Linked DNA regions of Sus scrofa. The protein of the gene in region 1 interacts with the protein of each later gene in a biochemical or structural test. Links are inferred from orthologs where the notes say so. Each region holds a gene or a part of one and is shown in the gene's direction. Other genes may lie near its edges.

The links.
Region 2: the proteins of RPA1 (region 1) and PRPF19 form a complex in vitro, tested with the Homo sapiens proteins (2 studies listed by BioGRID, with this or other methods). The link is inferred for Sus scrofa from reciprocal best matches to the Homo sapiens genes RPA1 and PRPF19.

Annotation. Positions count from the first base shown.
Region 1 is NC_010454.4:48,029,919-48,033,726, forward strand, and holds part of RPA1 (replication protein A 70 kDa DNA-binding subunit), read left to right. Parts: intron 1-1,881; coding exon 1,882-2,014; intron 2,015-3,721; coding exon 3,722-3,808. UniProt on the Homo sapiens protein: As part of the heterotrimeric replication protein A complex (RPA/RP-A), binds and stabilizes single-stranded DNA intermediates that form during DNA replication or upon DNA stress.
Region 2 is NC_010444.4:10,850,276-10,854,865, forward strand, and holds the start of PRPF19 (pre-mRNA-processing factor 19), read left to right. Parts: upstream 1-1,503; 5' UTR 1,504-1,519; coding exon 1,520-1,538; intron 1,539-3,210; coding exon 3,211-3,360; intron 3,361-3,517; coding exon 3,518-3,594; intron 3,595-4,320; coding exon 4,321-4,462; intron 4,463-4,543; coding exon 4,544-4,590. UniProt on the Homo sapiens protein: Ubiquitin-protein ligase which is a core component of several complexes mainly involved pre-mRNA splicing and DNA repair. Required for pre-mRNA splicing as component of the spliceosome.

The DNA of each region.
Region 1 (3,808 bases):
GAAAGAAAAAGGACCAGAAGGAGTTCCTGTTGTGGCTCAGCGGGTTAAGAACCCAGCTAGTATCCATGAGGTTGAGGGTTCAATCCCTGGCCTCGCTCAGTGGGTTAGGGATCTGGTGTTGCCACAAGCTGTGGTGTAGGTGGCAGACGCAGCTCGGATCCCATATAACTGTGGCTGTGGTGTAGGCTGGCAGCAGCAGCTCCAGTTCAAACCCTAGTCTGGGAACTTCCATATGCCACAGATGCAGCCTGAAAAAAGAAGAAAGAAAAGGAACTGGAAGTAAGTTGAGGAGAAGCTGCCAGCATGAAAACTGGATGTGTGTGTGTGTGTGTGTGTGTTACATAATTGTATATTGTGTACTAGATATAGATACGCACATACATAGGTGTTCAAGAGAGTATGTGTGCTTCCTTGCGTCATCTTGAGGTAGTTGTTACTGTTGTGAGTGTAGACATTGCTTGATGCCCCAGTTTGAAGAGAAAATTTTAAGATCTGGGGCAGTCTGTGTATATTTTTTACTAAGTGCTACAAATACCTAGAAGAGTGTGGTACGTGCTGCGAAAACGCAATAAATAAATGCTGAATAATAGTAGATTTACATTTCTAGCCAGATGCCGTTCTGAAGAAATGTTTTGTTATAGAAGATATGAAAAATCATTGGACTAAATCATCTTTTCCGAATTTGGAGGTGGAAGCCTCGGAAACAGCATGCACGTAGGGGACGTCGTCTGCTCCCAGGCTTTACGTGATTACCTGTTCTTCCCGAGTGCCAGGCAGCTGCTTAGGCTTAGATAAAGGAGGCAAGAAGGGGCCACGGCAGCCAGCCACCTACTTGTCATGAACGGAAAACTGATTCTTGCTCTTTGCTCCCAACTAAACCCATCCCATAGACTGCATTCTAGACCTTCTGTTCTTGTCAGACCAGTTGAGAACTGGGAATTTTCTAGGGATGTTGGGAGGCGACATATTTGTGATGGATGTCCTTCACCTCAGGCGGCTCATCCACTGTGTCCGTTAATTCCTAGGCTTTCCTTTAGCTTTTTCTCTTAGGCAACTAGTGACTTGTCAGATTTACCAGTCAGGAGGGTCGATTTTTTTCTCTGAACCCATCACCTTGCCTGTTGCCACAGGGGCAGCTGGAAGAGGGTTGAGCTCCCAAAACAGCAGTGTCTGGATTCCTTACTGTTGTTATCGTGACCTTAGGGCCTCAGTCAGCAGTAGAGTCGCGAACATCTGTGTGCCCAGCCTTCATTCTGGATCTGTCTCCAGCCTCCTGTTTCAGTCTGTTTGATCTCCAGATCCCTTGATTATGTATTTACTTATTTAAAAAAAAAATATATATATATATATATATATATGTATAGTCTTTTTAGGGCCACGCCCATGACATATGGAGGTTCCCAGGCTAGGGGTCGAATTGGAGCTACAGTTGCCAGCCTACACCAGAGCCACAGCCACGCAGGATCCAAGCCACGTCTGTGACTACACCACAGCTCACGGCAATGCCTGATCCTTAACCCACTAAGGGAGGCCAGGAATCGAATCTGCGTCCTCGTGGATACTAGCCAGAGTCATTTCCGCTGAGCCAGAACGGACACTCTCTCTTGATTATTTAAAAGGAAAAGGCTTGGAGTTTCCTGGTAGCTCAGCAGGTTAAGGTTCCTGTGTTGTCTTTGCTGTGGTGTGGGTTCGATCCCTGGCCCAGGAACTTTTGCATGCCTTGGGTGTGGCCAAAAAAAACTGTAATAAAATAAAAGGAAAAACTGCCTCTCATTTTGTATGATGTCACCAGTGACACCTCAGTAATTGAGAGTTATTAGGAAACTTACTATAAAATTTCAATAGAATAATGATTGTTCCTCTTTGTGTTTGTTTTTAAAGGTTCCACTGTATCTAAGGCTTATGGTGCCTCAAAGATATTTGGAAAAGCTGGAGCTACCAGTGTAGTGAACAGCTCTGGGGGAACACAGGCCAAAGTGGTCCCCATTGCCAGCCTCACCCCTTACCAGTCCAAGTGAGTTATTTCATGGAATAAGTTTAGAAGGTACTTACAAAAGAGTATATAGTAAGTTATTATGGGCTCTTGAATTACTTTTGTGTGAACTTCAGGGTTGCCACACATAGAATAGGTTTCCTCTTTTTTTTCCAAATGGGAAGAAATTACAAATTGTGGCAACCATGATTTCTCTTATAATAAAGAACAGCAGAAAGAGCAGTCTGGGGAGTTCCCGTCATGGCTCAGTGGTAATGAACCCAACTAGTATCCATGAGGAAACAGGTTCAATCCCTGGCTTTGCTCAGTGGGTTAAGGATCTGGTGTTGCTGTGAGCTGTGGTGTAGGTCGCAGACTCAGCTCGGATCCCAAGTTGCTGTGGCTGTGGCGTAGGCCGGTAGCAGCAGCTGCAATTGGACCCCTAGCCTGGGAACTTCCATGTGCTGTGGGTGCAGCCCGAAAAAGACAACCCCCCCCCAAAAAAAGAGCAATCTGCCATAGCCCATGGAGTTTCATTCATTTTAAAAAAGAATTTGAGGAGTTCCCATCGTGGCGCAGTGGTTAACGAATCTGACTAGGCACCATGAGGTTGCGGGTTCTGTCCCTGCCCTTGCTCTGTGGGTTGACCATCCGGCGTTGCCGTGAGCTGTGGTGTAAGTTGTAGATGCGGCTCGGATCCCGCGTTGCTGTGGCTCTGGCGTAGGCCGGTGGCTACAGCTGCAATTTGACCCCTGTCCTGGGAACCTCCATATGCCTCGAGAGTGGCCCGAGAAATGGCAAAAAGACAAAAATAAATAAAATAAAAAAAATAAAAAAGAATTTGAAATTTAAAAGATTTAATGCTTGAAGAATCAGTTGATAGTCTCATGAGTAAAAATAAATATTCTAAATCTGAAGGTATTTTATTTTCTCATCGTATAAACAGGTGACTTGTAGTCTTAAAAGTATTACTGGGGTGTAGGTGGCTAAAAGAATCTGTACTATTTGTATCAATATTTCTTTTATATGACTTCTTACCATTAAACATTAATTTTTGCACTTTAAATTTAGGGAGTACTCTTTTCAGAATTCTTTCAGCTATGTTTTTATTTATTCTTCAATGCTTGGTAAGATCGGGGTAACCTGCTCCCCTGTGAGATAATGAGTGAGGTGCCTCGTGTCCTCAGTGCCTCTGCTCAGGATGGACGCCGGGTCCGGGTGTCAGAGCTCGTGCCTCCTTTTTTAGGGGCCTCTGTCTGAGGCCCTGTTGCTTGCGGGTGTTTTCTGCTGGTGGCTGAACCAACACCGTGTTCCACACCCTTGTATTTACTCAGTGTGTCGGAAACGAGGCAGAAGCCCGACATCAGGTGTATCAGTTCCCATAATCGAAAGCGGTGGCAAAATATAATTGCTGGTATGACTGCCTTTTCTCGCTTAGAACCTTTTATCAAGGGGATATTGTTGCCTTGGTGATGCTTTTTGGAGAAGGGAGAGCGTTTATAAATTTACTTATTTGACAGGAGAATGAGTCAGTGTTAAATCACCTTGCATGTTTTACTCTTTGCTTATTCTATAAACTGTCAAACCTGGATGTCATCGTGGGGTTTTAATTAGCTGCGTTAAAATACAGCTTCCACTGGAGAGTGGAATATGCATAAAGGAAGAAGGGCTACCGGAAGATGGTGGGGAACCTTTCAGATCTTTCGCAAGTGAGACTCCGAACACTAATATTGTCTACTTGGTTTTCAGGTGGACCATTTGTGCTCGTGTTACCAACAAAAGTCAGATCCGTACCTGGAGCAATTCCCGAGGGGAAGGGAAGCTTTTCTCTATAGA
Region 2 (4,590 bases), on another chromosome or scaffold:
TTTTCTCAAAAAATTCCGTTATGGTTTATCCCAGGAGATTGGATATAGTTCCCTGTGCTATGCAGTAGGACCTTGTCAATCTATTCTAGCTCTGATTTTTTTTCTTGTTATGGCCATACCTTTGGCATATGGAAGTTCCTGGGCTAGGAGTTGAATTGGAGCTGCAGCTGCCAGCCTGCACCACAGCAACACAGGATCTGAGCCACACCTTTGACCTACACTGAAGCTTGCACTGGATCCTTAACCCACCGAGGGAGGCCATGGACCCATATCCTCATGGACACCATGTTGGGTTCTTAACCCATTGAGCCACAACAGGAACTCCAGTCCAACTATTCTAAATATAGTAGTTTGCATCTACTACATCCAAGCTCCCAGTCCATCCTTCTCCCTCGGCAACTACCAGTCTGTTCTTGTCCGTGGGTCTGTTTTGTATATAGGTTCACTTGTGCCATATTTTAGGTTCCACATGTGTTATTACGTGGTATTTGTCTTTCTCTTTCTTAGTATGATCATCTCTAGTTACATCTCTGTTGCAGCAAGTGGCATTATTTTGTTCTTCATTATGGCTGAGTAGTATTCCACTGTATATATGTACCACATCTTCTTAATCCACTTATCTGTTGATAGACACTTAGGTTGTTTCCAAGTCTTGGCTATTGTGAATAGTGCTGCAGTGAACATTGGGGTGCATGTATAAATGGATCCATTTTATTTCCTACCACATCTGAGTACTTAAAATGCCTGGCATTCAACCAACAATAGTTGTGACAGTCCTGCTATATTTCAGGTACTGTGTCAGCCTCTTAGAAACAACAATAACCAGAACAACTGTGGTTCCTGCCATCATGGAATTTACAGTCTAGCGGAGAACCCAGCCATCAGAAAAGTTTTTTCACCTATCAGCATCCGCGCCTTCTTCCTTGGACCTTTCAAAGGGTACTCCGAGAAACACTTGTCAAGAATCACGTGGGAGCAGCCATGGAAAACGCTCTCTTCAGCGGACCCCAGGAAGATGCGTTTTGAGAAGCGGGGTAATTCTCGCTCGCAACAGCGTTTGCAAGACTACGATCCCAAGGCCCCCCCTTCCCGCTCCGGTCTCAAAAGAGTCGATTGGTTTAAAGTTTCTGAGTTGATTGGTTTAAAAAATTACTGAGTTGATTGGATTAAAACTCCCACTGCATCACGGGAAATGTAGTTTCGGCTCTCCTTTCCCCCAACCCCAAGAGAGCTTTACGAAAGGAGCCGAGCGGGCCCGGAAATAGCCGAGTACTTCCTGGCGCGCCCTTTCCTGCCCGGTTGCATTCTGGGAAAGGACAGTTTCCGTTAAAAGCTGGAGGCTGAGGCGCGCGACCAGCCGCTGTCCCACGTGAAACGTTGCGGGAGCATCGTCCAGCGGGGTCGCTCCCCGCTTGCGCGGAGCGTCCCGGAAGCAGCGGGGAACCGGAAGTGGGCCCCGCGGGCTCAGAAGCTGATCCGAAGCCAGGTGTGAGGAGCCTCGGAGCGCAGCTACGGCAACATGTCCCTGATCTGCTCTAGTGAGTATCGCCTGTGGCCGATCGCTGGGCGCAGGAGGCCACAGAGCCGAGTGGGAGGATCTGCGGGCCTCTGCGGCGCCGGGGCGGGGGTGGAGGTGAAAACGCGGCTCCCGGGGGGGCAGGGCGGCGGCCTGTCAGCCCCGGGGGTCCTCCTCCTCAAGCGTGGGGTGCATTTGCGCAACGCTTCACAGTTTACATAACGCCTCAAGTGTATTGTCGCAGGCAGCGCCGAGGCCACCCACCTTGTTTGCGCAGTTGAACAGAGGCCTGGATAGAGGGAGCTGGTGCAGGGGAAACAGCTCTGCTGTAGAAATTAGGAAATGCGAGGGCTCGTGCAGGATCCGCCTCAGATTGGCTTTGTGATGTGGCGCAAGGATGCGGGCCTCAGTTTCCCCATCTGCAAAATGAGGGCCTTGGCACTGGATGTTGTCTGAGGCCCTGCTCGGGTAGGCAGAGCTTCTGCAATTTGCAAAGGTCGGACAGTGAGTTACAGGCTGTGACAGGGCTGGGAGCCAGGGACCTGGCTTCCAGCCTCACCCTTTACGGACTGCTGAAAACAGCGCACTTTTATAAAGCCTCTGTTGATTTACAGCTCGTTTGCAAGACTGTGATCTTGTTATGTTCTCATTTCTCCAGAGCAGAAATAAAGATCCTGTTTTACAGATAAGGATGTAAGGCTGAAGCAGAATGTGGCTTTTGTAAAACAGTACAGCTAGTAAGTGGTAGAGCTGGGTGATGGAGTCAGGTTCTCCCTGACCATGAATCTGTGCTTTTTTCAAATGCCTTGACCTGTCTTTCCTTTCGGTATTTTATTGTGATATTTTGTACTCATTGTTATTGGGTTATTAGTCTCTCATCCTTTTCTTTCTTTGCTTCCTAACTCTCAGGCCCTTTACTCCTCTCAGAACCTTTCCATAAATCCAAAAGAAAAAAAAAGGAAAGAAAGGGGGAAGGGAAATGTGACTAGATAAAGGAAAGGTACACCTTAAAGAAATTATAGTGTGCCAAGTATTTTCACATTCATTGTTTCAATCTTAAGGAAGCCCTTAAGGAAGCTCCATCCTTCCTCTCTTTGGCTCATCTCTTAGATGTTTACTGAGCGCCTGCTGGGCATCTGCCTTGTCCTGGAAGTCGGAAGCCAGCTATAATCTCTATCCTCAAGGGTGTAAATGATACCTCAGTTGGGGGTTGTTGTGGGGATGATTTAAGCAATGGGAAGTGTTTACAGGCTGTGCTTGGCACCTAGTAAACACCACGTAAATGCTTTCTCTTATTATAGCACTTGTCACATCTCTTTGAGAATCCATCTAGGCTTTAGCCTGAGGTTTAAGTGAGGTTTGTGTGTGTCTCCCTGTTCTGCAGTGTAATGGGTACCTAAGCATCTTTGTTCAGAAATGAGACGGGCAGAGATTATTGACTGCTCTCTAGGTACCTAGCATTTAGTCGTTGTGTAGTAACTATTTGTTGATTATTTGACTGTCAGGAGGCTGATGGAGCAGCTAGTTAGAAGGCTGGAAAGCGTTCTGGGTACAGACCAGAACTGGCTCTTGGTGTTCTGGTTGATTCTCATCGGTTGAGTGTAGGCCTCTGGAGGCTGGTAGTAGGTGAAGCATCCCTTTGGCCCAAGGTCCCTTCCCACAGCCCAGGCTCACTGCCTGCCTTTTCTCCACAGTCTCCAATGAAGTGCCAGAGCACCCATGCGTGTCCCCTGTCTCTAATCATGTCTACGAGCGCCGGCTCATTGAGAAGTATATTGCAGAGAATGGCACAGATCCCATCAACAACCAGCCTCTGTCCGAGGAGCAGCTCATTGACATCAAAGGTGCCTGCTGACTGGCCACAGTCCAGGGCCATCTTAGCTCAGAGCCTGGGGCGGGGGAGGAGGTGGTGGTCTGTGAACGCAGGCTGAAGGGGAAGCATGGGGGAGGGGCAGGCTGGCCGGCCACGGGTTTTCACACCCACTTGCCCTCTCTTGACAGTTGCTCACCCAATCCGGCCCAAGCCTCCCTCAGCCACCAGCATCCCAGCCATTCTGAAAGCCTTGCAGGATGAGTGGGTGAGTCCCTGGAAGAGAGTCGGTATCTTCCCCGCCTGATGGACTGGGCGTCGGGGTGGGAGGGCTGGAGCCTTGTGTTCTGTTTCGAGCTAGGGAGGGAGCAGAGGAGAGCCTGCTTGTTGACGTCACACAGATCTGGGTTCCACATGTTGCTCCCTTGCACACTTGCCTTGGGGTTGCTCGTATCACATCTGAGCCCTGATTTTCTTGACCATGTGACAGGATTGGTGCCTGTCTCTCTGGGTTTTGGGAGAATTGGGATAAGAGAGTATAAACTTCCTGATGTCAGGGACTCGTGTGACTCCTGCTAGAGCCCCATCATCGAGGGCAGTGCCTGGCACATAGTAGGTGCCTTGCAATATGAAGAATGAATAAGTCTTGAGCAGTCTGGCGCCATGCCTGACACAACGAGGGCGGTCACTAAATCGCAGAAGTGGCGTTGTCACTGCCTTTGGGGAGGTAACAGCATGATGTCCGAGAATTGCGGTGATTAGTGCAGATGGGATGGGAAAGAGCTGGCTCCCACTCCTGTCTGTGTGCCCAGTCTGGGCATGGGTGGGAGCTCAGGAGTGTCTGCCCGTGCCCTCAAGGTTGCTTGGATGCTACTTGGGTCACTGATCCTGGCCCAGGCCGTGAGGTAGGAGGCAGCGTCCTCTTATCCAGCGCTGACTCTTATGCAGGCGTTCATGCTGCTCCCCACCCCTCACTGTGGTGTCTCGTCCCCAGGACGCAGTCATGCTCCACAGCTTCACCCTGCGCCAGCAGCTGCAGACCACCCGCCAAGAGCTGTCCCACGCGCTGTACCAGCATGATGCTGCCTGCCGTGTCATTGCCCGTCTCACCAAGGAAGTCACTGCTGCCCGAGAAGGTAGAGCCTCTCCCACCAGCCCCCCAGTCCGGGATGGCCTGGGTTATAATAGCCCGTTTCTAACGCTGTCTTCTCTCTCAGCTCTGGCTACCCTGAAACCTCAGGCCGGCCTCATCGTGCCCCAGGCT